Ovis aries: one gene and its partners. The protein of the gene in region 3 purifies or fractionates together with the protein of the main gene of each other region. This does not show direct contact. Links are inferred from orthologs where the notes say so. Each region holds a gene or a part of one and is shown on either strand. Other genes may lie near its edges. The genes, in order: CDK9, PHLPP1, FKBP5, USP49, CHUK, MCMBP and protein argonaute-1.

What was found.
Region 1: the proteins of FKBP5 (region 3) and CDK9 purify together in Homo sapiens (affinity purification with mass spectrometry; 10 studies listed by BioGRID and IntAct, counting the BioPlex papers as one, with this or other methods). This does not show direct contact. The link is inferred for Ovis aries from reciprocal best matches to the Homo sapiens genes FKBP5 and CDK9.
Region 2: the proteins of FKBP5 (region 3) and PHLPP1 purify together in Homo sapiens (affinity purification with mass spectrometry; 4 studies listed by BioGRID and IntAct, with this or other methods). This does not show direct contact. The link is inferred for Ovis aries from reciprocal best matches to the Homo sapiens genes FKBP5 and PHLPP1.
Region 4: the proteins of FKBP5 (region 3) and USP49 purify together in Homo sapiens (affinity purification with western blotting; 4 studies listed by BioGRID and IntAct, with this or other methods). This does not show direct contact. The link is inferred for Ovis aries from reciprocal best matches to the Homo sapiens genes FKBP5 and USP49.
Region 5: the proteins of FKBP5 (region 3) and CHUK purify together in Homo sapiens (co-immunoprecipitation; 4 studies listed by BioGRID and IntAct, with this or other methods). This does not show direct contact. The link is inferred for Ovis aries from reciprocal best matches to the Homo sapiens genes FKBP5 and CHUK.
Region 6: the proteins of FKBP5 (region 3) and MCMBP purify together in Homo sapiens (affinity purification with mass spectrometry; 3 studies listed by BioGRID and IntAct, with this or other methods). This does not show direct contact. The link is inferred for Ovis aries from reciprocal best matches to the Homo sapiens genes FKBP5 and MCMBP.
Region 7: the proteins of FKBP5 (region 3) and protein argonaute-1 purify together in Homo sapiens (affinity purification with mass spectrometry; 6 studies listed by BioGRID and IntAct, with this or other methods). This does not show direct contact. The link is inferred for Ovis aries from reciprocal best matches to the Homo sapiens genes FKBP5 and AGO1.

Annotation. Positions count from the first base shown.
Region 1 is NC_056056.1:8,430,806-8,434,843, forward strand, and holds the start of CDK9 (cyclin-dependent kinase 9), read right to left. Parts: upstream 2,801-4,038; 5' UTR 2,658-2,800; coding exon 2,566-2,657; intron 2,086-2,565; coding exon 2,004-2,085; intron 1,207-2,003; coding exon 1,116-1,206; intron 763-1,115; coding exon 596-762; intron 482-595; coding exon 310-481; intron 147-309; coding exon 1-146. UniProt on the Homo sapiens protein: Protein kinase involved in the regulation of transcription.
Region 2 is NC_056076.1:61,361,164-61,365,390, reverse strand, and holds the start of PHLPP1 (PH domain leucine-rich repeat-containing protein phosphatase 1), read right to left. Parts: upstream 2,801-4,227; coding exon 1,687-2,800; intron 1-1,686. UniProt on the Homo sapiens protein: Protein phosphatase involved in regulation of Akt and PKC signaling.
Region 3 is NC_056073.1:9,745,277-9,748,776, forward strand, and holds part of FKBP5 (peptidyl-prolyl cis-trans isomerase FKBP5), read right to left. Parts: intron 1,335-3,500; coding exon 1,192-1,334; intron 244-1,191; coding exon 129-243; intron 1-128. UniProt on the Homo sapiens protein: Immunophilin protein with PPIase and co-chaperone activities. Component of unligated steroid receptors heterocomplexes through interaction with heat-shock protein 90 (HSP90).
Region 4 is NC_056073.1:15,702,061-15,706,289, forward strand, and holds the start of USP49 (ubiquitin carboxyl-terminal hydrolase 49), read right to left. Parts: upstream 2,801-4,229; 5' UTR 2,555-2,800; intron 2,465-2,554; exon of another isoform or gene 1,372-2,464; intron 1-1,371. UniProt on the Homo sapiens protein: Deubiquitinase that plays a role in several cellular processes including transcriptional regulation, cell cycle progression or innate immunity.
Region 5 is NC_056075.1:20,893,291-20,896,790, forward strand, and holds part of CHUK (inhibitor of nuclear factor kappa-B kinase subunit alpha), read right to left. Parts: intron 2,293-3,500; coding exon 2,231-2,292; intron 979-2,230; coding exon 869-978; intron 44-868; coding exon 1-43.
Region 6 is NC_056075.1:39,499,846-39,504,030, forward strand, and holds the start of MCMBP (mini-chromosome maintenance complex-binding protein), read right to left. Parts: upstream 2,801-4,185; 5' UTR 2,522-2,800; coding exon 2,464-2,521; intron 1-2,463. Other genes in the region: SEC23IP (SEC23-interacting protein), read left to right, coding at 2,974-3,157. UniProt on the Homo sapiens protein: Associated component of the MCM complex that acts as a regulator of DNA replication.
Region 7 is NC_056054.1:10,826,130-10,829,629, forward strand, and holds part of protein argonaute-1, read left to right. Parts: intron 1-2,175; coding exon 2,176-2,359; intron 2,360-3,500.

The DNA of each region.
Region 1 (4,038 bases), on a different chromosome or scaffold from region 3:
GGGGGTGATGGAGCCGCAGAGCTGGCTGATGAGGGCGAGCTGGTGCTGCTCCGTGTTGCCCTGCATGATGGGGCTGCGGGTCCACATCTCCGCCATGATGCACCCAGCACCCCACAGATCAATGGGGGGGCCGTAGTCCCGCTCCCCTGGGAACAAGAGCACACCAGGGAGGGCCCCCTGAGCCCCATGGCCTCCTGAAAGGCCACGCCCCTGGGGCCGATGGCTCAAGAAGCCCTGGCAGTTGGGGTGCTGAGACTGAGCTGAGTGCCCAGCCCCTGCTCCCCTCTGCCAGCTCGGGAGAGTCCTCACCGAGCAACAGCTCTGGGGGCCGGTACCAGAGGGTCACCACACGGTTGGTGTAGCGGTTGGGCTGGCTGTTCTTGGCCAGGCTGAAGGCCCGGGCCAACCCAAAGTCCGCCAGCTTCAGAACCCCATCGCGGGTGATGAGCACGTTAGCCGCCTTCATGTCCCGGTGCAGGATCTGCAGGAAGCACAAGGCGGAGGGTTCCCAGGGATCCCTTAGCCATGCCCACCCCGCTGTGAGCGCAAAGGCCAGCCCAAGCCCTGCTCTCTCCTCCCCAACTAGGGCCCCCACCTTGTTCCTGTGGATGTAGTAGAGGCCGTTAAGCAACATCTGCATGACCCTCTTGATCTCAGATAGTGTGAACTTGACTAAGACGTTGCTCAGTAGCCCAGCAAGATCATGCTCGCAGAAGTCAAACACCAGGTATATACTGCCTTTGCAGCGGTTATAGGGGGAAGCTGAGGCAGGAAGAATGAGGAGGAGAGAGGGGGAGGCATTAAAAAAAAAATCAGAAACCTTACATGTAACTCATTTCCTCCAAACTAGCTCCCAACCCCTCCAACCCATGGCCACCCCGAATATCCGGGTACAAATTCCTTCACAGGTAAAACATTTTCTGAGTGCCTTCTCTGGGCTGGGTGCTGTGGCAGGCCCTGGGGAAGCACCTGCTCCGATGAAAAGACCAGAGAAAGCAGTCACAGTTGGAATGTCTGGGTTAAGAAGAGGCAGTGTAAATGTGTCCAGTGTCAACTCCGCAAACAAAGCCTCAGTTTTTCCATCTGAAAATGGGAACATGATCCAAACAACTTACCTTTGGTTCGACAGATCTCAATCAAGTTGACCACATTCTCGTGTTTTAGAAGCTGGAGGATCTTGATCTCCCGCAATGCTGTAATGGGGAACTGGGTGGGAGAAAAGACAGGAGGAAGTCAAAAGTGGGTGAGCACACTACAGACCCAGGAACTGACCATGGGGTCCACGCGAAGGGTCATAGGCTGGGAGACAGTAAATGCACAGGCTCTGGAATTAGCTGTCTCAGATGTCACATATGTAAAACGGGAGTAACTATGTACGCCTCATAAAGAACTGAATGAATGAATCAAAATAATTCAATGAATGATCCGAAACAGTGACACTTCACACAAAGGTTCTGTTACCAGTCATCAGACGCTCCGCAGTTTCTTCACCCTTATAAATTTTAGCCCTATGCCTGCATTTAACCTGCTTGGCAGTTAACAAATATATAATTAAAGAAGCTGGTCTCTGGAAAGCTGAACCAGAACTAACACACGTGTGTGGCAGGAGAGACTGTTGCTTTTCAGCTGAATACCAATCACCTTTTCAAAGCCATTGCATGTAATTATCATTATCATATATATATCTTTTTTGCGTTCAACAAAATTAAACCCTAAAGAAAAAGTCTTTAACGACTTCCTAACTTCAAAAACCTAGGGGCACTGGGTACAAGCATGGGCTCCCCCGCCTGGCACCAACCATATTCACCCAAGAATGAAGTATCAAAAGCTCTAAGACATCTGAATTCAAAGACTGAACTGGGAAGTCAAACTTCCTGGAATATGGAAATTTCCAAACACCTAATCTGAATCTATTACGTTGAGAGTCCCCAAACCAGAAAGGTGGAAACGCAACCTCACGCCCAAAGGAGCTGGGAGACCTGCCCACCCCACCCCATACTCACCCCCTCTTTCTCGTTCTCCATCAGTACCTTCTTCAGGGCCACCTTTTGGCCGGTCTTGCGGTGCTTTGCCTTAAACACCTCCCTGCAGGCGGAGAGGGGAGACCCAAGAGGGCTCTTAGAGGACGTTTCCGCAGAGCCCGCCCCTCCCCCACCAGAGGAGGCCCGGAAAGGGAATCCCGGGCGGGGCTGGGCCGGGTCCCTCACGGCACTCGGCTACCCCACCACGCGGTGACTCTGGTCCCTTCTCGAGTCTCAGCCTTCTTCCCTCTGCTCCTTGCGCCTCACTCGGGCGTCTCGCAGAGAGATCCCGCACCACTCACAGGCTCCTCTCTGCAACCCCTCCCTGCCCCCCCATTAAGGGCCTCAGGCTCCTCCCAGCCGGCCGACTCCTTCAGGCCCCGGCGGGGTTGCGGTGCGGCCTAGCGAGACCAGGGGATAAGTTTGCGTCTAAGTGGCTTCCCGACCAACCGGGCCCGGGTCTGGGCGTCCCGACGTCGGCCCGGAGGGGTGCAGGTTCAGGAGGCTCCCGGTCCCTGGGGGTTGAGGGGGGGCCCAGCCTTACCCGAAGGTGCCTTGGCCGATTTTAGCGAGCTTCTCATATTTGGTCACCTCATCACAAAAAGGGCACTCCACCGAGTCGTACTGCTTTGCCATGGCTGACTCCAGTGCGCCGCCGCCGCCGCCTCCAGCCACCACCGCCGCCGCCGCTGCTGCCGCCGCCGCTCCCGCTCCGGGTCCCGCCGCCGTGCTCCAGGCCCCTCCGCGGCCGCGCCACTTCCGCCTCCACGGCCACTTCCGGCCTCGAGGCGCCGACCCCGCCTCTTCCGCCCGCCGCCCGCCGCCAGGCCCCCTGGGACTTGTAGTTCCCGGGAGGCCAGGAGGAGCCGAAGCTGCAGAGGCGCCTCCGCCACCGCCGCTGCCCCCGCCTCCGCCGCCGCCGGCGCCGGCGGTGGCCCCGATCGGGGGCGCGGGGAGCCGGGGCGCCGGGGCTGGGGCTCGAGGTGGTGCGTCCCGCTGCATCGGCTCGGGCCGCCGCCGCCGCCGCTGCCGAAGCCGCTGCCGCTCTGGCGCCCGATCCGGGGCCAGCCGCAGTGCCCTGCTCCTCCTCCTCCTCCGACGGCGCCGCCTCCGCCGGGCTGCGCTGGGCGCCGGGCGCAGGGGGGGTGGGGGGGCGGCCCCCCGAGCCGCGGCCTGGGGGCTCCCTGGCCGGGCCCGGGCCCGGGGCGGCCGGGCGAGGGGGCCAGACGGAAACAGCCGATGAGGAGGCGGCCCGAGAGCCCGGGAGGGGGCGCGTTATAAAGGGGGAGGTGCCCAGGCCTCGCCCTCCCCTCCCCCTCCGCCCGCCCCCTCCCTCCTCCCTTCCACCCTCAGCGGCCGCACCTGCCGCCGCCGCCGCCTGCCTCCCGCCCGCCCGCCGCCCTCGGCGCGTCACCGCCCGCGGCCCCTCCTCCGCCTTCGGAGGTGGGGCCCCGCGCTCAACACCTGGCTTCGGGGCGCGACTTACCGCGTGCCTCAGTTTACCCGCACATGCCAGCCGCAGCGGGGAGTCCCTTCCTCCCCGGCTCGGGATTTCCCCACCCGCTCTCACACCCCACTCTACGCAGGCGAGGACTAGAGGTGCCGAGAGAGCGGCCTCGGGTCCGGGGAAGGGAGAACGGGCCCCGACCGCCGCCTCCCCGGGCCCCCGCCGACCCGCCGTTGATATGGCAACCGATAGCCGCCAGGGGGCGCGGCGACATTGAAGGTGGTGAGCCAGCAACGCCTGGGCCTTCCACTCCTGGATCCCCACCCAGTTCTCTGGGAGACAAGAGATGAGACCCACAGGACTTTGGTTCCTGCCGAGCTGCTCCCTAACTGGTCGCGCCCCGGGTTAGTAGTCACAAAGGTAGCCGGCATTTCGTCGGCCCCTCTTGTGTGCTCTGGAAGTGCTGGGCATTCCTACTGAATCCTGAATCCACCGCCCATAGTCAGGATCACTAACCAATTTTACAGAAGAGCACATTGAGGCTCGGAGAGGTGAGGTCATTTGCTCAAG
Region 2 (4,227 bases), on a different chromosome or scaffold from region 3:
TCTGTTAACTTTACACCAGGATAAGTTTAAAAAACAAACAAACAAAACACCTACATATCATCCACTCAGAACATTTTGGACACACCTGAAGAGACAATCAAGGGGAATCAAAGGTTTAAATGCCACGACTAGGACACCTAAAACCCCACGGACATTCATCATGGTCAGCAAGTCAACCACGAGGAAAATGAGGCATGCAGAGCTCTTTCCATGCAAAATATGTGCAATATGTTCAAAATATGCTCAACACAGCCCTTGCTTCTTTACACACACACACACACACACACACACAGGCATTTACCATTCTCATGTTAACAAAACATTCACTCCAAGCATGATTACCATTTAACGCTTTCATAAAATAACAGTATTTTATAAATTACACGAGCCACAAGAGAGGAGAAGAATTTAGTTGTTGCTCCTACATTAAAAAAAAAAAGTCACCTATTTTCTAGGCCATAATCTTTTTAAAGACTTGTCATCAGGTTGGGGCATTATCTTCAGGTACTGCAAAAGCTATTGTATTACGATATGGTTTTCTTTATGAGGCCAAAATCCATCAGAAACCCACCTGAATTATAGAAAAACCTCAATTAAACATAAAGGAACATCTCACCAGGAATGCTACCAGTCTTGCATATCTCAATGGAGGGTGAAGAGCTCCTCATTCACAGCGACTAAACTGCTGCTAGAACCCAGGTGTGGACCAAGAGCATGAAGCTGGAGGGAATGGCTGCAGATGACGCGATTACAAGCGGGACTCTCTCCACCACCACCTGCAGCCTCAGTGCAGAAGTAGTCTACTACTTTAGTGAATTGGGGGAAGATGTAACTCCCGATTTAACTATTACACTAACCTTGTTTTAAATAAAATTCCTTACCACTAAAACATAATTCTTCAAACCAGCAGAGGAAAAGGACATAAAGAACTTATTAAGCTCAAATATACAGCCATAATTTAGCACCAGCTAAAAGAGAAACACTAGTCCCCCGTGGTCAAGAACTTGATCTAATGTATCAATTCTATCCCAATGAAAAGATTTAAGATCTTTAATCTAGAAATGAAAATAAGGATGCGGAGGATTTTAGATCGCACTCAGTGAGAGGCGGCAATCAAAAGTACTACTGTGACCGCTATGTATCCCTATTGGAAGTCACATAGTCAGTTCTGACTATAAAGGTTAGAGGGGAGAAACTGAGAGAAAGAAATAGGCAAAACCACTTCTGATGCAAGAAGTACACTTGCAGAGGAGACTGAAACAAAGCCAAGAAGCGCTGAAGAAAAGCATCACTAAAGAGGATCGTGGCTGCCGGGTTCCACCGAGGACTAAGTGGGCAAAGGACAGGACGGGGAGCAGGAGCAGGGCACCGGCCGACCCGGACTGAGCTCCGGGCGGGCGCCGCCGGCCGCGCAAGGCCGGACGCAGGCCGGGTGCTCCGGGTTTCCCGCGGTCCTTTCCCTCCGCTAGTTTCACGGCACGTGAAGTTGCCCTGAAGCCCCAAGCCCCGCAGCCCGAAGGCGGCACTGTCACTGCAGGGCCCCTCTCAGGAACATGTGCGCCCGCGGCCCCGCCGCCTGCCCCGCACCCGCGGCGGGAACCGCTCGGCTGGGTCCCACCGGTCTTCCGCGCGAGCGGCGAAGGGCTAACAGAGCCCCGAGGGCGCGCGTGCAGGTGACCGCCTTACCTGCATAGAAGCGGATGAGGCAGCCAACCTCCGAGTCCAGGCCCTCCTCCTGCACCCTCCACAGCGCCCCGAAGCCCAGCTGGAAGAGGTAGTCGTTCTGGATCTGCAGCGGCTTCTCGTCCGCCTCCAGGCGCCGCGCGGTCTCCCCGTGCAGCTGCACATACAGGGTGGGCGGCGGGGGCGCCTTCTCCGCGGCCGCCGCGTCCCCGCCCGGGCTCTCCTCCGCCGGCCGGTCGCGGGCGGCGCCGCCCGAGCCCTCGACGCCCCTCGGGGCCGTCGGCGGAGGTGGGGAGGCGGCCGGGGAGAGCGGCCGGGAGCCCGACGAGCGGCCGCGCAGGCGGGGCTGGCCCGGGTCAGCCTCGAGCTCCTCGGACGACGATGAACAGTAGGGATCCGGCGGGCGCGACGCGCCCTCGGCGCCCGGGCTCGGCCCGGGGCTCTCGGGCTCGGGGGTCCGGCCCGCGCCGTCCGGGGCCCGCGGGGAGCCCGGGCTGCAGCCCGCGGGCGCGGGGCCGGCGCGGGAGGCGCGGCGCGGCGGCGGCCCCCCGACGGCGGGCAGCGCGGCCTTCCCGGGCGGCGGCCCCGCGGGGGCCCGGCCCGGCACCTTCAGCACGCCGCCGGCCCTGGGGCCCGCCTGCAGCAGGCGGGAGGCCACCTCGCCGGCCGTGGTGTCCAGCGTGCAGAGCACCGGGCGCAGGCGGCTGGCGGCCGGGTGACGGTCGAGGACGTGCACGCAGCCGCGCTGGAGCTGGTGCCGCACCCAGTCCCGGTCCGACGGCTGCAGCGGCAGCATCTGCCGGGGTCGCGGGAGCAGCGCCCGGCGGTCCAGGCTCCGCGAGCACGGCGGCGCCGCGGCCGGGCCGGGGGCGGGGAGGCCGGCGGGGCGCGGGGCGGCGGCGGCGGACGCGTTCCTCTTCAGCCGGCCTCTCCTCAGCAGCAGCGAGCTGGCGCCGGGCCCCGGGGCGGCCCCGCCGGCGGCGGGCAGGGGCGCCGGGCCGCGCCGCCGCCTGCGAGCCGCGCCTCCCGCCCGGCCCGGCGCCGCGGTCAGCGCGGGCCCGGGGCCGCCCGCCGCGGCCCGGCCCTCCGCGCGGGTCTCCGCGGCCGCGGGCTCCATGGCGGCGGGGCTCGGCGCGGCCCCGGCTCGGGGGGCAGCGGTCGCACAGCGAGCGGGGGGCGGCGGCGCCGCCAGTGGCGTTCGCGCGGCCGTTTCGGGCGATTATGTGGCGGTTCGGAGCGCTCCGTCGGCGTCTCGGTGTTCCATCCCGCGCGCCCGCCCGGCCGCCACCGCCCCCCGCCCGCCCCTCGCCTCGCGCAGTCGAGCCAGCCGCGGAGCCGGCCTCATTGAATATTAATCGCGCGCCGGGAGCGCCGGGCGGGAGGCCGGCGGGCGGCGCGCCTCATGAATATGCATCACCCGCGTGACGGCGACCCCGCGGGCGGGCGCGCGGGGCGGAGCCTCGGGGTAAACAAGCGGGACGGCGTCGGGGGGCGGGGCCGCGCCGCCAGGCGCGGGGCCTTCCTGCGCGGGCCCGAGAGGGGAGGGGCCGAGAGACGGGCGGTGCGCGATGCCACCTGGGAGCTGTAGTTCCAGGCCGCGGTCAGGCGTCCCCGAGGGGGACCGTGGCGAACTACAAGTCCCAGAGATCCTCCAGCACCGCCCCGCCGTGCGGCCCGCCGCGGGCCCCGGACTGTGGGTCTGGTGCCCTCTGATGGAGTCGATGCTCAGCGGCGTTCGGTTCATGAACTTGTAGTTACCCGCCCATTCCTGCTCCCCGAGGCTTTCGTTTTCCCCGCTGGTTGAGACAGGGCTCGAACAGACTCCAGGCGGCACGAAGGTCCGGGCGCTCGGTCTTCCCCTCACCACCTACGAGCTCGCCCGGAGGCAGTCGTGCGGCCCCGGCCCGGCCCTCCGCGGGTCCTGTGTGAGGAGAACGGCCGAGGACGGGCCCTCTCCCTGCTCAGCTTGAGGTCCGAAAGGACTGAGGACACGGAAGGCGATGGGAAGCAGAGGTAACGCTGGAACGGAGGCGTGGGACAGAAGAAACGGGCCCTGCGCTCTCTTTTAACGTCTTCCCTTGGTTTTTCCTTCAGTATTCAGAAAAAATTACATTCTGCGACCGCAGTGTTAGTCGTGGCGTAGAGTTGTACTTTCTTGTCGATTGAAACAATATTGTAGGCTGGATTAGAGAGGTTACTGTTTAAAAGAATTTGGTAAACCTTTTTAATTGAATTACCATTCCTCCGTATTGTTTCATAAATCTGGATTTTTACATATAAGACTTGTGCAGCTGCAAACAATCCCGGGCCTGCTTAACATCAATAAAGTTACTTAACCTGGGGGTGAATTGGGGGTAGGGAGTTTAAGGAAAGAGGAAGGAGAGAGAAACAGGGAAGAAAAAAGAAAGAAACTGGAACTTGTGGCTGAAATAATAGAAACTAATAAGGGCAGAGAAAGGTGTACGTGGGTTATCTACACAGTTTTACTGAAAAGTAGAAGTTACAGGACAAAAAATATTATCTTGATTCTTGAAATTCCTGTAG
Region 3 (3,500 bases):
ATTATTAAAGAAATGTTGAATTTAAAACTATTCTAGATAAATATTCAGTACATTTACTCTTTTAAAGATTTTAAAAAGGAAAGCTCCATTTTGTCCATATAACTGGGACCTCTCACAGCAGTACTTACTCTCTACTGTCGCTCCCTCATTTGGGTTTGAATACCCTTCTCCTTTCCGTTTGATTCTTCGAATAATACCTCCATCTTCAAATAAATCCTCTCCTTTGAAATCAAGGAGCTCAATCTAGAAAGGAAAAAGGGATATGGCTGAGAATGGCCCAAACAATGTCAATTTAACATACTTAAATGCTAGGGCAACTATTCTCCTTTCATTTTACAAAACAAAACTCTGTTTTATATTTATCTATGCTTCTCAGTTATTGGAAAAGTAGGGAAAAAAGAACACTGCACTTTTCAATACCTGGAAAGAACCTTCACTTAATGATAATGTCTAGGACCACATCCTGTGGGGCTACACTGCAAAGACAGACAGGAAATACTAGGAAAACTGCCTTGTGGGCAAAACGCCAGAGTGACACAGTTCTGGCCCAAAACTACTTTGTTTAACTCTAGAAGCCACCACTTTTTCACCCCAAATTCATGGGAATTCCCTTCTTAAAATGTAAGACTAAACCCTATGAATCAGGCCTACAACCAACTAAAGGCGTATTTTACCTGTTTACAATGTTTCAGGCATTTTCCCTCTTAATTTTTTAATTAAGTGTGGCCAAATATGTGTGACTCAACACAGGATGAGTAACATTTTATCACCACCTACTGCTTCTAATGAGGAAGTGAGATCTAGGACAGTTATAAACCTCTGTCATAAAAATAGCTTTACAACTTGGTTTAGGTGTATTTCAACATTTATCTCCCACATTTCCCATCCTGTCCTCTGGTCGAGTCTGAATATGTCACAACTCAGACCACTGATCAGAACCTTTATTTCTAAGCCTGGTTTCTTTTGTTTATTTGGATATGACCGTTTTGTGCCAGAGACACGTTTCTAAGAAAGCACTGGCACACACCCCTTGGGTTTGTGGGAAACAATTCAAGAAGCCAAGCTCCAAAATAAATAAGTTGGATCCGATTCTCAATAGCAAGCTTAGCTCCTCGTTGCACTGCCTGTCGCTGTGGAGCCAGCACTGTAGTAGAGCAGATGCTAACAAGGCAACATCACACACATACTTGCCTCAAAAAAGAGAGTTGCATTCGAGGGAATTTTGGGGAGACTGCCAGCTGAGCCATATGCATATTCTGGTTTGCACAGTAAATGACAGATCTCCCCTTTCTTCATGGTAGCCACCCCAATGTCCCATGCCTTGATAACTTGGCCTAGGAGAAAGGAAAAAGTGGTTGAAAGCTATAGGCTGTATTTTAAGACTTTCACAAAACAAAAATTCAAACACATTTCCCATTCCTTAAACGATATACTACTCAGCTAGGAAACAGGGGCTACAAAAAAACTCAGTAAAAGTTACACACTAAGAAACAAATTGTGATTTTTTTTTTCCTGAGAGCTAACAGAGAAGATTCTCTGCTGAGAAGCATGAAAGTGGTATCAGATTCTACACTGCTCAAAGACTAAGTCTTTGAAAAGTAGCAGTAACATGATCTCTGAAATGTGGCGGGGCTGCAGTTGTTGGTTAATTTATAATTTTAACCATAAGAATAAGTGCGTGTTTTCTAGGCAGAGATGGAACAAAAATAGTATAGAAAATGGAATTTGTCCTAAGAAAGCATATAATTTAGTTGGGTAGACAAAAACAACAAACAAGAAGCAGTCGGAAAAGTATAAATTGCATAAAACGGCGCATGAAACAGATTTCTCCTCAAAGTTTAGAGTAAAAAAAAGAAGTGGTTTTTGTTTTTCTAAAAAACCAGAATGATGTGTGTCTTCTTCTGCCAAATCACAAGAACTACAGAACTCAGAAATTTTTTTTGCTTACTTCCAGGAAACTAAAAGTTTACTGTAAAACTGTATTTTTTTTTTTTTTTTTTGGATATGGACCATTTCTAAAGTCTTTATTGAATTTGTTACACTACTGCTTCTGTTTTATTGTTCTGGCTTTTTTGGCCACAGGCATGTGGTATTTTAGCTCCCGATCAGGGATCAAACCCACACCCCCCCGGCACTGGAAGGTGAAGTCTTAACCACTGGACCACTGGGGAAGAAACTTAACCTACATAATTGGATCTTACAATAAGCAGTTCCAAATCCTTTGGAAAACAACAGAAAATGTACAAAACTTCAAGGGATGATATACAAATTTGAGGTGCTCTGTCAAAGACTTGAGTATTCAAAGTGAGACCAGGTGAGCAATGAACACCAGAAAAAGCAAAATTTTGAAAACAGCTGTTATCTTGAACTGAGAGCTGATGGTAGGACTACAGTAAGAATGATTAGAATAAGAGGAACTCTACACTAAGGTATGTAAGTACAGAGGGACAAAGCATTTGTGACTCATGACTTCAGCTTAGTCTTAAGCATTACAACTTTTCAAAATATCAGATATACTTATTTTAAAGTGTATGTAAGGTATACATGCCTATTTTTACAAACACCTAAGAGAGAAAGATATGAGTGAAAAGTCATTCATTCCCTCCTTATAAGAAGCCACTGTTGTTATCTCTTTTTTGTATCTTTCCAGTGTGTGCTGTTGCTTTTTAAAAAATTTAAAACAAAAGGACAGCATACTATACATTCAGGTCGGAACTGCTTTTTCATTACATAGATTCTTATATACATATATTTTAATATATATAAATATATGACATAAAATGCTATAAATATATATAGACATGTTTATAATTTATATATGTATGTATACATGCTTATATACACACACTTATATCTTTATTCATCAGCTGACAGGAGGATATGAATTTTAGGGGTCAGCAGTATAGCCTGCGTTAACTCCAGACTGCGTAAATTAGAATACCAGGTCTGTCGCATATTAGTTGTGTGACCTTGTCCAAGTTTCCTTGTCTGCAAAATGTAGATAATAACAGTACTTGCCATATAGTTGTTATAAGAATTCAAGTGCCTGGCATATAATATACACTGAATAAGGAACAGTCGTCATCATCATCATCAATACATACTGACCTACTTCATGCTCAGTGGCTTCAGAATATTCCAGTCACTCTACTCTTGAGAAACATTATCATCAACAGTACTCTAATAAGGATTTTTGTCCCTTATGTTTGCCTTTTATGTGCAAGTATATTTGGAGAGCAAATTCCTAGAAGTGCAGAGGTGATGTGCACTTTCTATTTGATAGATATTGCCCAACTGCCCTTCCAAAAGGGCTGTATCAATATACATGCCCACACACGGTTCCAAAGTGAAAACAGTCTAGAATCATTAGAGGAAATGTCAAGTCTGCTGCTGACAGGCTGCTTCACAGTCACTGATGGTCCTCAAAGACTGTGGCTGGTTTTAGTGTGGTCCATACAGAACTTTTTTTACTCTCAACTCTGCTATTTTAAGACCAATAA
Region 4 (4,229 bases), about 6.0 Mb from region 3:
CTGCTCCACAGAATCTGGAATCCATGAACATAGCAGCTGAACCCAGAAATTTAATTTAATATTCTAAATTACTCACCTATATTAATGACCAATGTTTCTGATGTCCACTAATCAAGATCTAATCTTTGCTAACTATCACAGATCCCATAAAGGTGATCTTTGCTATTTATACAAATATCCAGAAAACAGTGGCAATCCAAAATTTACACAACTTTAAAGAAAAAGCATCTTTGTGTATCTGAAGGTACACCAATGAAATAACCTCATATAAGAGTCTCAAAAACAGTTTGTGGTTTTTTCCTAAGTAAATTATATGCTGTCCTTTGGTATCATCAAATGCAAAGTAATAATCGTTCATATTTTTAGCTAAATGTAAAAGCTTCAGGATTAAAAATCATCAAAACAAAATACTTGGTTAAGAATAACCTAAATTTTGTCCCAAATTTATCTTCCTTTAAATTCCCCAAAGTGTCTTAAATATAAAAAACTTATTCTAGAAAAATATTAATTTTTTTATTCACACCTACAAAACAGGAGAGGCAGTGGAGCTGTCCAAGGCTCCAGCATGCATTACCTTACAGGTTATGATAAAATTACTCATAAACCCATTATTTAACTGAAAGATAAGTCCCACTGTAAAAGCCTCTACTATTCTAAATCTCCCTTTCTTTATTCCATTTTTGTCAAATGGGTGAGTTCTCTACTACAGTACAAAAAGTCACACACAAAGCTAAAGGCAGCTAAACCCTCAGCACGCTGATTTAAATCTCTTCCCCTGCAAACTTCCCTGGTTGGCTATTTGCCTTTCTCTGAAATGATTTCAATGTTCTCCAGCCATCAAAAACAAGTAGGCAGAAATTTGGTTGATTAAACAAAACGAAAAGATTTTCATCTTTATCTATCTCAATAACAGGGTGCTCGCCACTGAAAATAAAAATGCTGTCGAGAAAGCACTGCCTAGCGCTTGTCAGGTACCACACTGCTACAGCACAACACTGTCACACCATACAGGCACAACCACACTGGAAATACAACCCAGTTTCCTATGATCACACCACCAGTAAAAGGCAGAGCTTCTCAGCACCCAGTTGACACTTTATCGTTCATACAAGAACAAAATCAAAATGGGTCTCATCTTTTCAAAGTGGACATGAAAAGTCGATTTAAAAAACCATGAAAGGTGGAAGCAGATTCAAGATTCCTTGAAGAGAGAAAGAGGTTTCTGGAATTTCCTACTTTCATGGACAAAAGGACTCACACTTTCAATACACTAACAGTTCTCTTCTCAACAAAGAATTCCTTTCCTGCACCCCCCACCTCCACTGTTACTTTTTAGTTTTTGCCCCTATCTCTAGGTCTCTTTTCACTCACCATGGTTCCTCCTCTTCTGCACCAAAGGCTCCCTACTCTTGATCCTTCGCTAGAGAGTCTGTGCCCTGACCCATGTGAACCTTCTGGAGCATCTCCCCCAACTGTGCAGTCTCCCCCAGGTTGAAATCCATCAGGCTTCCCCAAGCTTCCCTTAACTCTGTTCTTTTCCCTCACTCCCCATCTCATCCTTTAAATCCTGGGGTCCATCTCTTCCTTGCTCCCCTCATCCTATGCTTTCAGCCTTGTCTCTTTACCTCAGTCTGGACCTTGGATCTTGCTGAACCTCGGCGATTAACACAATTCCCCAGTTACCCTGTCCCAGACCGCCATCACTTCTCACACCCTCACTCTCTTCTTTGAGCTTTTCTGGCCCCCGAATTGTCCTACAAACGCCCCATCTCTCCTGTCCATTGCTTTTCACCCTTCCAAATCGGCCGCACTTATTCCTAACTCCACCTGGTTACTAGTCCAGTGTTTAATTCCCCTCTTCCTCACTTTCAAGAATTCACACCCACTGCCCATCCACTAACCCATACCTTTCTCAGAACCTCGCAGTTTCCACCCATCGCCGGTCCTAGTCGTTCAGCTCATCTCGCCCTGCACTAGTTCACACCCTTGTCACGTCTGGCTCTTAATCACTCTCTCTCTACTCCCAACTACTCCCCCAGCTCTGCCCCTCCTTGCCTTCCACTTCCAACTCCTACCCCTGTAACCCTCGCCCCACTACCATCCCTTACCAAGCTTTCCCCTCCAGAACCCTGCTCTCACACCTAACCGGGGGAGCCCTCTTCCCGGGCTCGGTCCTCCTAACCTCATTCCCGGCCCGGATTCCTTATCACCCAGCCTGGGCTTTGCCTCCTTCCCACCTCCTTGGCTGGCTTTTCCTCACTCCTTCTCTCCCTGCCTCCTACCCCTTTCTCCCCTTAATCCTCTTCATCTCATTCTCAGATCCGTTCCCCCGAAACGCCCCCAAGCCTGCCTTCCCTTCTCCCCTCCAGGCTTTTACCCCAAACCCAGCGGTCGCCCACCCCGCCAAAATAAAGGGCCGGCGCGCCAGGACAGCCGGCTCTCGCCTCCCGCGGGCCCCCGCCCCGGGCGCCCCCAGCCCGCCGGCGCCGCGGTCCCGCCCCCTGCCGCCACTCCTCCCGCCCGCTAGCCGCGCGCCGCCTTTGTCGCCCCTCACCCGGTGTGTGAGGATTTTGCTTCTTTAAAGGGGAGGGCCAGTGTGCCGGAGACTCCTGTCCCCGCCTCCGAGTCTCCGAATGGGATCCCTGGCCGTCACGTCCTCCCCGGTTCCCGTCCCCCCACTCTCTGGAGCTACCCCCTTTGCGGCCGCCCCACCTCCTCCGCCCCCTCCCCCGACCCCCCTCTATTTACCGCCATCATCAGCACGCGCGAGCTGTCACCAGGGCGCGAGACAACCGAACGCGGCCCCGCCCCCTTTCCGCCCATTGGCCCGCCCGCCGGAGCCCCGCCCCCCGCGCCCCGCATTGCGCCAACGGCGCAGCCTAGGGCCCCGACCCGGCACAGACATCCTCTCCGGGGGTTCGCGCGGCGGCCGCCAAGTTTAGGGTTAGCCACCGACGCGCGGCCGACTTGAGCCTGGCGTAAGGGGCGGTGGCGTAAAGGGGCGTTGTGAATCGCGGGTCGAAGTTTGGTTGAAGCACAGGAGGGTAAATAAGGAGGTTTCCAGACAAAGAGACTCTTAAAGGTACAGAGTCTTACGGCCGTCCCTCCTCCTTAAAGGACCAGAGACTCACAAGAGCCCATCTCCGCCCCCTTCCCCGCAGCCCTTCAGCCTGCGGAACTGTAAAGGAATCTTACGGTAGTTCGCTGCACTCCTTTGGGATGGACCGTCTTTAACATCTCTTTCCACTGCCAAGCGGGAAAGCGTTCCTCATTATACCGTCTAGGTTTTTGTTTTGTTCTGTTAAAAATAAGACTATCAGTTTTCACGGTGTCCAAAAGATCCTGAGTCAGCTTTTGAAGAAGCTACACTATTGGTTCCCAGGCGATAGAGCAAGTGTCTCACTTTTGCCACTGATGACAAAGTCGGGATTCCGCCTTTTTATGGAAATTCCCCTAAGGAAGTGGTTCGCTGCTGCTGTAAACTGAAGAAGTTCAGCAGAAGGTGGGGATGGAGACCCCAGGGAAACAGAACTGCGGCTATTTACAAATCTTCTCAACGTAAGAAAAAGTTTCCTTCCCGAGGAGCCTCTTGGGTGCATTGTCCTGACATAGTTGGGGGGGGAGTTCCTCCAAATAAGACCAACACTGTTACATCACCCAACTGCAAGGCTGAAACAGGTAAAGGCTTACCTTTAAATACAAGCGCAAGGAAAAGAAACACATTCTTTACTACCTACACTGGCTCAAAGCTACACACTTGTAAATATGAAACAGAATTAACAGAAGCCAAAGAACAACAAACAAAATAAGAAGGGGGCAGGGCATGTGCATGTGTAAGCATGAATCTACAGCCTGGAGTCAGCTCTGTGAAACTTCCAAAGGTAACTAACTTAAACACTTTAAAAACGTCTGATGAAGCGATAAATCCTAGTGATTGATTAATCGATTTGATGAGGATTTGCCGTGTGGTTCAAGAGCTCAGTGTTCCTGTTCAGTGTGTGACCCTTGGCCACCCCATGGACTGTAGCCCTCCGTGGGATTTTTCAGGCAAGAATACTGGAATGGGTTGCCATTTCCTCCTCCAGGGGATCTTCTTCACCCAGGGATCAAGCCTCCATCTCCTGCACCTAGTCACCTGGGAAGCCCACAAGTTAAGACCTAAAATTTAGCACTCCCTTTGCTAACACCTTTAACATAATTTTAAGGAATTCGTATCTTACATTTTAACT
Region 5 (3,500 bases), on a different chromosome or scaffold from region 3:
TCTGTGCTTTAACTGCTTATATAGATCAATTGCACGCTGTTCCCTATGAAAGAGAAAACATGTTCTAAACATGAAGATAGTTTAACGACTTTTTATTTCCAACTTGAAATGAACAATATTATTTGAATAGAGTAACGACCCTATTTTCAAGTAATTATATATTGCCAACGAATATTTTACAGGGTGTTTCGCTGGGTAATAAGCAAGATCTTAAGATGCAAAGTTTAATATACTAAGTATCTGCTCTGATCTACCATCACTTATATAGTATCTCTGCACCAGAAACACTTAAATGGGAAAAAAATTATGTCCTGTGATTAAAGAAAAAAAAATCTGAAGTTTCTAATCCAAACACTTAGGACGTTAACCTTATTTAGGGAATTTAATAAATGATACCTTCCTTAAACCAGAAGTGTGGTAAGTAGGGAAATAGTTTGAACTTAAAATACTTGAAAAATTAGTAACACTCACATGAAAAGATGCTTCGGTTTAAAAAGCAAAGGTCATGGAAAAGAATTTGAAAAAGAATAGGTGTATATATATATATATATATATATATATATATATATGGGTGAGTCCCTTTGCTATATACTTGAAACTAATCACAACACTGTTAATCAACTATAATATAACCCCAATATAAAATAAAAAGTTTTTTTAAAATAAATAGTAAACATCAACCCAAAGAGTTATTGCCAAAATTTCCTGTGATTAGGAAAAAACTTCCTTTTTAAATATGATGCCAATGTATTTGTGGAAAGAAAACTATAGAAAAGAACCACATATAATCTTCCAGAAATACAATGAAAGAATAATCTGCTACCAAAAATTACAGACACCAACACTAACAACATGACTTCACCCTTACAGAGATTCCATCAAGTCTCCCTGACGTCGTCCGTAGGGGCTCTTCTGTAGCTCCATGATTTCAGTGTGCAGGGACATGATTTGATCCTCCAGGTATCCAATGACACCCACCTAAAATATGATGAAACACAAAAGAAATGACAGGCTCACCACCACACAATATGAGGAACTCAGAGAATAACTTCTTACAGTAACAGAACAAAGTGATTTAATGTAAAACACTGATTTTGTTCAAGTCTGTTTGTCTCTCAGATTATGGCATGTAACTTTCATATGAGAACCAACTTATTTCAGGCTTCTCTCCTGACAACAGTAGACTACTAGCATTTTCTTTCTCCTCCTGAGAAGGAAAAAGACAGAAGTGTCACTAATAAGTAAAAGTGACTATCAATACCACTGCATCTTGGTTCTACAATTTTCAGTGTCTCTTGTTCCCAACTTGAATAAGGATGCAGAAAGATAAAGACACTGGATTTCCCAACCCAGGATACCAACTGCCACACTCATTCCTCAGGAAGTGCTGGCATCAAGGAGAGCAACAATTTAACGGGACCACAGACAGATGTACCAGGTAAAGAAGGAATCTGCCACCTATAGTGTGACCATAAAAAATTTATTGTCCAAACCAGCAAAATTTTGAGAGTATTATTGATAATAAAGGCTTCCCTGATAGCTCAGTTGGTAAAGAATCTGCCTGCAATGCAGGAGACCCTGGTTCAATTCCTGGTGGGAAAATCCCCTGGAGAAGGGATAGGTTATCCACTCCAGTATTCTTGGGCTTCCCTTGTGGCTCAGCTGGTAAAGAATCCTCCTGCAGTGTGGGAGACCTGGGTTCAATCCCTGGGTTGGGAAGATCCCCTGGAGAAGGGAAAGGCTACCCACCCCAGTATTCTGGCCTGGAGAATTCCATGGACTGTATAGTCCAGGAGTCACAAAGAGTCGGACACGACTGAGCGTTTTTCACTTAACTAACTTAACTAATTGATAATTAAGGCAAGAGAGGTAAACGAAAACTGTCCCGAGTAAACCAGGATGTGTCCAGCCATCCTATCAAAACCAGTCTTAAAAATAACAGTGATAACTACCATTTATTAGTCACTCCCACTTAAATCTGTATAACCCCACTAAAAAAGGTCCCCATAATATAACATGGAAACTGAGGCTCAGTGAGGCTTCATTTTAGTCTCATTTACCCAAAGCTCTTGTTTTTATCCACTGTGGTACTTCCCTCTACATACACATACTAGGTATCTGTCTGATATTCAGGAATGATATGAGAAATACTCTACAAACCAAAACCAAAGAATTTCTAAGGGAGACCTCAGGAGTTAATAAGCACACAGAATGAGCTCAGTGATTTTACCTCAGCATAGTGGATAGCCTTTTCTTCCATTTCTTTCCAAGCTTTTAACATTTTTTCTGAGGCTAAAAAAAAAAGTCTTAATTGGTTATCTCAGAAATAGCCATAGGTTTAATTACTGACCTACCCATCTCCTTGCCATATTAACATCAAAAACAGAGTTATGAGTTGAATTGTTCCCCCAAAAGATGGTGAAGCCCTAACCTTGTACTTCAGAATTTGACCTTATTTGGAAATAGCATCAGGTGCAATTAGCTAAATTAAGGTTGAGTCTTAACCTAGTATGACTAGTGTCCTTTTAAGAAAAGAAGAAGAAACACAGCAACAGACATATGAACGGGAAAGCGCCATTTCACAACAGAGGCAGAGACTAAAGTGCCACAGCTGCAAGCCAAGGAATGCCAGAAGAATCTAAGGAAGGATTCTTCTCCATAGGTTTCAGAGAGAGCATGGCCCTGACAACACATCGATTTTAGACTTTAAGCCTCTGAAACTGTGAGATAATAAATTTATATTGTTTTAAGTCACCCAGTTCATCGCAATTTGTTATGGCAACCCTGGGAAACTAATACAGATGACTTTCTCTTAATAAAAAATAAAAAAATTTTAAAGTAATACATGAACATGGTATTTTTAAAAAATCAAACACTATATAGAGATATAGAAGTCTCCTCCCCTCCACTCTCCACTTTCTGCGATCCCAGTGTTAATCATTTCTTACAGCGACACATCTCCTTTTCTCCCATAAATAGAATCATCTCTATATACTTTTCCTTCCTTGCTTTTTCCTCCAGCTTAAAGCACTGCTGCCTTAAAGATCAAGTGATCTTTTAATATCAGCACACAGAGGTCTACCTCACTCTTTTTAAACAGTAGTCTAAGATATACAACTTAGTAAGATAAGTCAAAGAAAATCTGATGAAATAACTATGTTTTGCTATTCATCAGAATGCCTATAATACACAAACAGAAATAAAATATCAATCATAGAACCAGCTTTGGTAAGAAAACTTATTTACCCAGCTGGACACTGTTGATCATTTAATTCTGAAATATACACACCTTGCTCAAGATAAGTATACAAACAGAAATGCTGAAGGCAACTCTTTTGGTTTATTATTTGAATTTTAACTCTGCTTTTTACATTTCCTTAGTACATCTGAAGGGAGATAAGCTTAGAATTAAATACCAAAACATTGGAGGCTATGTACAATAAAAAACAATGGGACTCCACAGTAGGTTGTTTAGAAACTTTAAAAAAAAACCCTGAAAT
Region 6 (4,185 bases), on a different chromosome or scaffold from region 3:
ACATGCTTTACAAGTTAATTTTCAGGCTTCACAGGATCCTATAATTACATGCAGCAGAAGTTACCCAACTCAGGTTCCCAAAGAAGAGTAAGATTTAGCCAGGAAAACAGAAGTGGGAGAGGAAGTCTTGACCAGGCAAAGGAAACAGCCTATGCAGAAAGCCTAGTGGCGTGGTTTAAGATCAGAGAACTGGAAGAAGGTTCAGTGTGAGGGGGAATACCGTGATGAGGTCTGAGAGCTGGGCAATGTGCCTGCCCAGTTGTGTCTGACTCTTTGTGACCCTATGGACTGCAGACTGCCAGCCTTCTCAGTCCATGGGATTTCGCCAGGAAGAACACTGGAGTGGGGTTGCCATTTCCTTCTCCAAGGGATCTTCCTGACCCAAGGATCAAACCTTCATCTCCAGGGTCGCCTGCATCACAGGTGAATTCTTTACCACTGAGACACCAGAGCTGGGCAGGGGTGGGGCCAAAAGGCCTCATAAACCACAAAAGATGAGTATACTTTTCTCTCTGGGCGAAAATGGATTTACAACAATTTCCTATTAGACCAAAAAGAGTCTACAAGTTTAACACCTCACTTCTCACACAAACATACCTGTAATGTTGTTGTTATAAAGCTATCCAATCCCATATATTCACAGTGATAGGAAAATATAGCAAGAATATACATTATATATCAAAGCAGCTTCTACAAAAACATCATGACTGTAAGACAGGATTAGTTTCTTCTCTGCAAGACACAATCTGTATGAGAATAAGACATTCTAGAGGAAAAACACATCAACAAGGTCCAGGTCATCAACAAAACACAAACTTCAGAAAATACTGTAGAGCCAGCATTTTATATCCAAATTACACCTACTATACTATAATGAGTTGTTTGCCTCTTAGGGTCCTACAAGCAGGAGACAAAATCTGACACAAATACATTCAAATATATACTAAATATAAAATCATCTCATTTATCCAGCCAGACTAGGACATGGATATTTCTCTTAAATTTTCTAAACATCAATTAAGCACCAAAACTTACTTACTTTTGAATGATTTTCCCTAAAAAGTGTCTCTGTGTCTGCACCCTCTTAAACCTACTGTGCAATTTAATCTTCACTCCACATTTAAAGGCCATTATTTTGGAAAACAATTATGGGTTCTAGTATTCATTATGAGCATCAATTACCAGGATTTAGTAGAGAGACATATGCCCCTTTTTGAAAAGGGCCCTGGATGGATATACAGGGATTAAAAAAAATTTTTTTAAACACTATGTACATAGTTTGAAATTTCTCCTTTAATAGGTTGTCAGTGTTCACTGGCTACAATTTGGATGCCTACCCAGGGCTTTTCCTAATATGCTGCCTCTAGTTTCAGCCTGGGAAACCAGACAACTGAACAAGTTCAAATCACAAGGAAAACGAATAGAGTTGCTCAGTGAGCCTTTCCTGCAAGAAATACATTTTCTGCCATCCGTTTTGGCTGCTGCGGACTATTTAGCTTCTTAATAAGCGTTCACGCTAATATTCCACAAGGTCTTAAGTGAGGAAGGCCACTTTCCAAGTTCAAGTTACCTCCTGACAAGTCAGGTGTTCTGATCTTACACACTGATTCCCGGTTGGGTTTGCCTCCACCACTCCTGAGTGCAAAAGACATGCGGGGTGGGGCCAAAATGCCTAGTGAACGGCAACCAGACCTAAATTTTTCTTTGTGTACCCTACCCGAAAAGTGTCATTAACCATGACTGCAAGTGAAATTTCCTGAGCTTGCCTGCCACATGCTAAGCTCTTTCTATGCAGGAACGCATCTGAGTTCGTTCACCATTTCTTGCTAGCTCTGGCCCAAGAGGAGATGGGGAGACGAGACATGTTTTAAAGGTGTCCTAACGGAAAAAAATCTAAGTTATCACACGAAATCTTATCTCGAAAAAGGAGGATGTGTGTAACCCAGGAGTTACAGCCAACTTCTGCAGCGAGCGAGCAAGCACGCGAGCACTCCCCCCACACACCGGAAGTTTTGAAATGTCCTGCGGGCTTCCCATAGGCAAAGTGCTTTTCCCTTCAGCACATCTCTGCGGGTCCTCCCGAAAGGTTCGAGGACCCCCCAACCCCAGAGTCCGGCCGCACGCGGGGCTCAGGGTCCGCCCGCGGGGCCACGAAGGGGGAAGCGAGGCCGTCAATCACGGCCGGCAGCCGGCTCCTGGCGCCGTAACCTTGGTGGCTCGGGAGTCGCGAATCGGGCAGGTGGGAGGCACCTGCGGCCCGGGCCCGGGCAGCCGCGGCCCGGACTCTCCGGGCGGGAGGGGGTTGCCGAGCGCCGGCGGCGCAGGCCCGGCTGACCGTCTCGGCCGCTCGAGCCCTCGAGGCGGCCCCGCCTGGGCGCCGCGCGGCAGGGTCCGGGCCCCGGGGGCTCGGTGAACTCGGCGGCCCGCCCGGACCCCGCCCGCCCCCCGGGCGCCGCCACTCACCGAAGAAGCCCTGCACGATGCCCAGCGGGTGGCTGAGCCAATCCTCCCCACAGGGCATCTCGCCGACTGGCCGGAGCCGGCGCGGCCCGGGCGTCCCGCGCGCCTCTGCTCCTCGTCGGGGGCTCGGCCGCTCCTCGCCCGCGCCCTCCCACGCAGGGAAAGCCTCGCGGCGCGGGCCGCCTGGCCTCCCCGCGCCTCAGGGAACGGCGGCGGAGGCGGCGGCTGTGAGGCGCTGCCGGCCACGGGCAGGCGGCGCGTGCGGGCCCCCAGCCTCCACTTCGCACAATGGCGGGAAATAGGCGCCGCCGCCGCCGACCGCGCTGCCGGCGACCTGGGTGGAGCTCGTGCGGGGAGGGGCGGCGGGAGCGCGCAGCGCGGCCCCGCGGCGGGGAGGCGGGGCGGCCTTGCTCCGGGGAGAGGGGGTGGGGCTCGGCGGGGCGGGGCCGCGGCGGCAGGGCGGTCGCCATCTTGGAGACGGGCGAGGGGAAGGGCAGGGGTGGCCTCGCGAGCATGCCGCGTGGTTACTTGAGGGCTGCATATTGCTCGGTGTCCCTCTGCAGACTCCAAAGGAGAAACTCCCGATGTCTGGTTTATCTGTTTATAGTGGCGAGGCCTTGCGCAGGTCGGAGACCGCAACAGTCCAAGAGCACAAGCGCAAAGAGACCTCAAAGTTATCTCTGGGCAAAATTAGAAGGTAACGTTGCCTCTGGTGTCTGCCCACCTCGTCCCGCCTCTTAGTGGTTTTTTTTTTTTTTTTTTTTTGGCCAATGGCAACTCTTTTGTTTGGTTCCGTGCTAGAAACCCCCTGTAATGACTTTCCTCCACTGGATCAAGTCTTCCCTCGACTGGATCAAGACAGTGGTATCTGTACACAGAAAAGATCTGGTTAATAGTAACCTTTGAATGAGGAAATTTGGAAAATATCCAAGTTCTATAATGAAACAGCCCCTAGATCTGAAATATATCGGAAAAAACCCTCCCTCTCATAACCTGAAGTACAGCGTATTAACAGAAGGATGATCCGAATGCGATCATCTCCACTCCCTAAAAAGTGAGGAGCTGGAGAACTGAACTCGGATCTCAAGCCCTCCTTAGGGCAAAAGGGTTTATTTTGTATCTGTCACTGTGAACTAATTACATTCCTCTGAATCTGGTGGGCAAGGCTGGTTGAATACCCGGATGTGGAAACTGAAGCTATGGAGACCTGATCACGCAGAGTCGTCTGTACTATTTCGTACCATTTTACATAAGAAACTCTGGCATTCAGATATCTGTTCCTGGAACCAATTCCCTGCAATTGATACCAAGGGATGACTGTGATTGGCATATTATACTATACATCTGGCTCTTGTGAGTTTGGGTGAGCTGAGAAAACGGTTTCAAATCGTTGGCATTACTACTTTCATTCATTCATTTAGCTTAGAAGGGCTCGAGATTCCTGGTATTGAATAGAGAAATCTCCTATTTAGCTTTGTGACATACAATCTTTTAAATTATAATAATTTCAATTTGCTGTATATGAAATTGCAGCTGGACACCAATTCAGCAGTGGCTAAGAACACTTCAGCTTTTGGTTTCTCCCTCTGTAGTCAGTGATTTGTAGACAATTGTTCAGATTTAACTTTAAGAGACACTGTGATCCTACTGAAATAATGTGAATAATTTCACCCAAGATGTTTTGACACTACTAATGAGTGGTTATGAAAACTTAAAAGGCCAAGG
Region 7 (3,500 bases), on a different chromosome or scaffold from region 3:
CTCAGACTAAAAGCTGGGGGCAGGGTGGGGTTGGGGGAACTTTGTACTGCCGTAAGACTTGCAGGAGGATGGGGTGGGAGAGAGGTTCTCTCTTCCTCCTGCCTTCCCTAGTTTGGGTATGAAGGGGAGCGTGGGGGCCTCCCTGTTTTCCCAGAGCCTCCTAGGAATGGAGGGTGCCTAAGGCTAAGCCTGGTGTGTAGTCCTATTTCTGAGGAAGAGAAGACTCTGAGGCTAGAGTGTCTGTCCCATCCCCCATCATTTCTACCCAGCCCCTAGCTCTAGGGGATGTCTTTCTCCCAAGACTCCAAGCAATTATGCAGCCTGGGAGGCTAAGGAGGTGAATGGAATGTAAGAACGTGGGGAGGGGAAGGGTATCTCTTACCAGCTACTTCCTCTAGGGTCTTGTTTGAGCTGGATTTATAATTGTTTCTGAGCAGTTTGCAGGTGTGTGTGCGTGTGTGTGTGCTTGTGCTTGTGTGTTCTTTGTGGGATGTCTACAGTTCTGTTTGTTAATTCGTTTCTTCTCTGTGTGTTGAACACCTCCTCTATGCCCGACACTGGAGATTCAGCAGTGACCAAGGCAGATACAGTCTTTGTATCTTTGAAGAACTCACAATCTAGGTTGGTGAGGGCTATGTATACGAAGGTAAACTGTCCTGTTCTAAGTATGTGTTTGGATGTGTATGTCTGACTATGGCTTGTATATAATTTCTGTCCAGCTCTTTCTACAGTAGGTGGCCAGGTGCTAGTAGTTAAGCTTTTACTCCCCCAGGTAGCCGAGTTCTGAAGGCCTTTTCTCCTCAGGCTGGGCCTCCATTTCCCTGTTTCCCTGTAGGGTAGGCTTGACAGGTGGTTAGAAGGAGACATAGCAGTTAGCTCTGGGAAGCATGCCCCTCCCTTGAAGGGTTCTGACCTCTTCCTGACCCCCCCAGCTGAGGATATGCCCCTTCCCCCCAGCCTGGCCAACTGTGAAAGCAGATCTCTGATAATGGGAGGTTCTCGGCTGTTTTATCCCTCTCTCCTCCCAACTGGGTTGGTCCTCTATTGGCCAGGACAATAGTTGATGTGGACAAAGGGTTCTCTTAGGCAGTTTTCCTTTTGTCTTCCCTTTCCCCTCAAGCTAGAAAATAAAACCAAGGGCAGCAATCAGGCTGCTGGCATTAGAGGAGAACGTAGTGGGAGTTGGCCCAGCCCTAGCCCTTTCTCAGGGGCCTCCAGTGTCTTAAAATTGATCCCTACTGCAACTGTTGGGGCCCTCTGTGTGGAAGGAGATGTGGGCCTGGAGAGAATTTTGTATTCTTCCCAGAGCCAGTAATCTCATCTTCTCCAGCATGATAATTGCTGCCCCTCCTTCCTAAATCCTCTACTCTAGCCTGCTCTTGCCTTAGTCACCTATGTTTAGCCTACCTTCATTCCCTAGATTTTTCTTCTTTTGAAATTGTGCTTCATTCTCTCCCCACTTGCAGGAAGTACCTGCCTAGGCTGTCAGCTCTAACCTATCTTGCCCCAGCCCCTATTCCAGCCTTTCCTCCTTCCCAATTCAAGCATTTTTCTGCTGTGACCTCCAGTTCTAGCGCCTTTAGCAGCTCCCTGTTTCAGCCTCCTTTCCTTGGTCTCCAGAATCTGTCCTGTTAACCTTTTCTCCTTTTCCAACCTCAGCCATTCTGTTGCCTTAATCTTTTCCCAGACATTGGCCTTCTTCCTTGCTTGTTGCCCTGGCACTTGGCCTTCTTTAGGTCTTCCTCCTGCCTGCAGTTGGAGGAGCTTTAAGGTGTGTTCAGGAGCTTTTTTGTGTGTTCAGGATGGTGATGAGTGAAGTGAGCATCTAGCTGACAGATAATAAGGTCTGCTGGATACCTGGTGGAGGCAGATGTCTCAATCTAGTAGAGGAAAGAAAGAGCCAAATTTAGTCCCTTTATTTAACCTGTAATAGGAAGTTATTATGTACTCACTTGATGAATTTAAGATAGATAACAAGGGTAATTTTCCTAACTGGAAAAAAAAAAAAAATGGCCTGGGTTTCAACCAGTGGAAGTCCTCATTTAGGTTGGGTAGACAGGAAAGAGGCTTCCCCTACACTCTGCTGTTCTCATTCTAGGAGGCCTTGTGCTGTCTCTGATCAGAGTGGTAAGGAGATTACCAGACTGTACCCTCACCAGGCTCTCTGTCTTGCAGCTGCAGGTGCCTACCTGCCCCCCCTGCAGCAGGTGTTCCAGGCACCTCGCCGGCCTGGCATTGGCACTGTGGGGAAACCAATCAAGCTCCTGGCCAATTACTTTGAAGTGGACATCCCTAAGATTGACGTCTATCACTACGAAGTGGATATCAAGCCAGATAAGTGTCCTCGCAGAGTCAACCGGTAAGTGATGCACAGAAGCCATTAAGTCAGGTAGTCCTTATTTTCCTAAGTCTCATAGCCTTCAAAGAATCCAGAGAGGTAAAAGAAAAACTCATTGAAGGTGATATCACCAAATTCAAGAACATTTTCAAGGAAGAGATTCTAACTTAAGGTAAATGTTGAAATAGATCACTGGATTTGGCTCTATGGAGACTATTGATAACCTTTTGCTACAGCTGTTCCAGTGGAGGAGTTGGGCTAGTAATCTAAGAGTAAGTTAAGGAATAGGGGCTTCCCTGGTGGCTCAGTTGGTAAGAGTGAGTTAAGAAATAAGTGGAAGGTGATGTGGTAGGGATAGTGAGAGCAGATAGCTTTTTGCTAGATAAGTTGATAGTGAAGCATGGGAGAGAAGGAATGTGTTGGCTTGAGAAGATTCTAGGGCTCAAGCCTGCTGCATTTCATTATTTGTGGAAATGAATAAATGAAAATTTTTTAAGAATGAGATGTGGATATGTTTATAAACCAAGAAGGAGCTAGTGTAGGAGAAGTTAAAGGTACAGGACAGGGAGGAAAGGAATGAGTGGGATGTTCTGGCTAAGGCAGGAAGACACACAGGATACACAGTTTGAGGAATTAGCCTTAGAAGAAGTAATAGTTCTTCTCAAAATTAATTTATTTTGTTATTATTTGAAAACTATTCATGCACAATATAAAAAAAAGTTTTTAATATTACAGAAAGAGTAACAGTGAAAAATGTCTCCTATTACCCTGACCTCCAGTCCCCTAGTCCCTTTCCCTAGATGCATTCATTATTACCCTTCATATACTTCCAGATATTTTTCTATACATATACAAGCATATTTGTATACAAACATTTTAAAACACACGGAATATAGAATCTTATACATCTTTCTCTGCACCTTGCTTTTTCCACTGAGCAACATATTTTGGAAAGTGATACATATCAGTACCTACAGGTTCCTCATTCTTTATTATAAGATATTTAATAATAAATCTATTCAGGAGCATTTAGGTCAAATCTAAACTTTTGCTATAAAATGAAACTGTGTAGAATATTAATAGAGATATTTTTGCTCTCAAGTATGAATGTATCTGTAGGATAAAGTCCTAGGACTAGAATTGCTGGCATAGTACATTTACA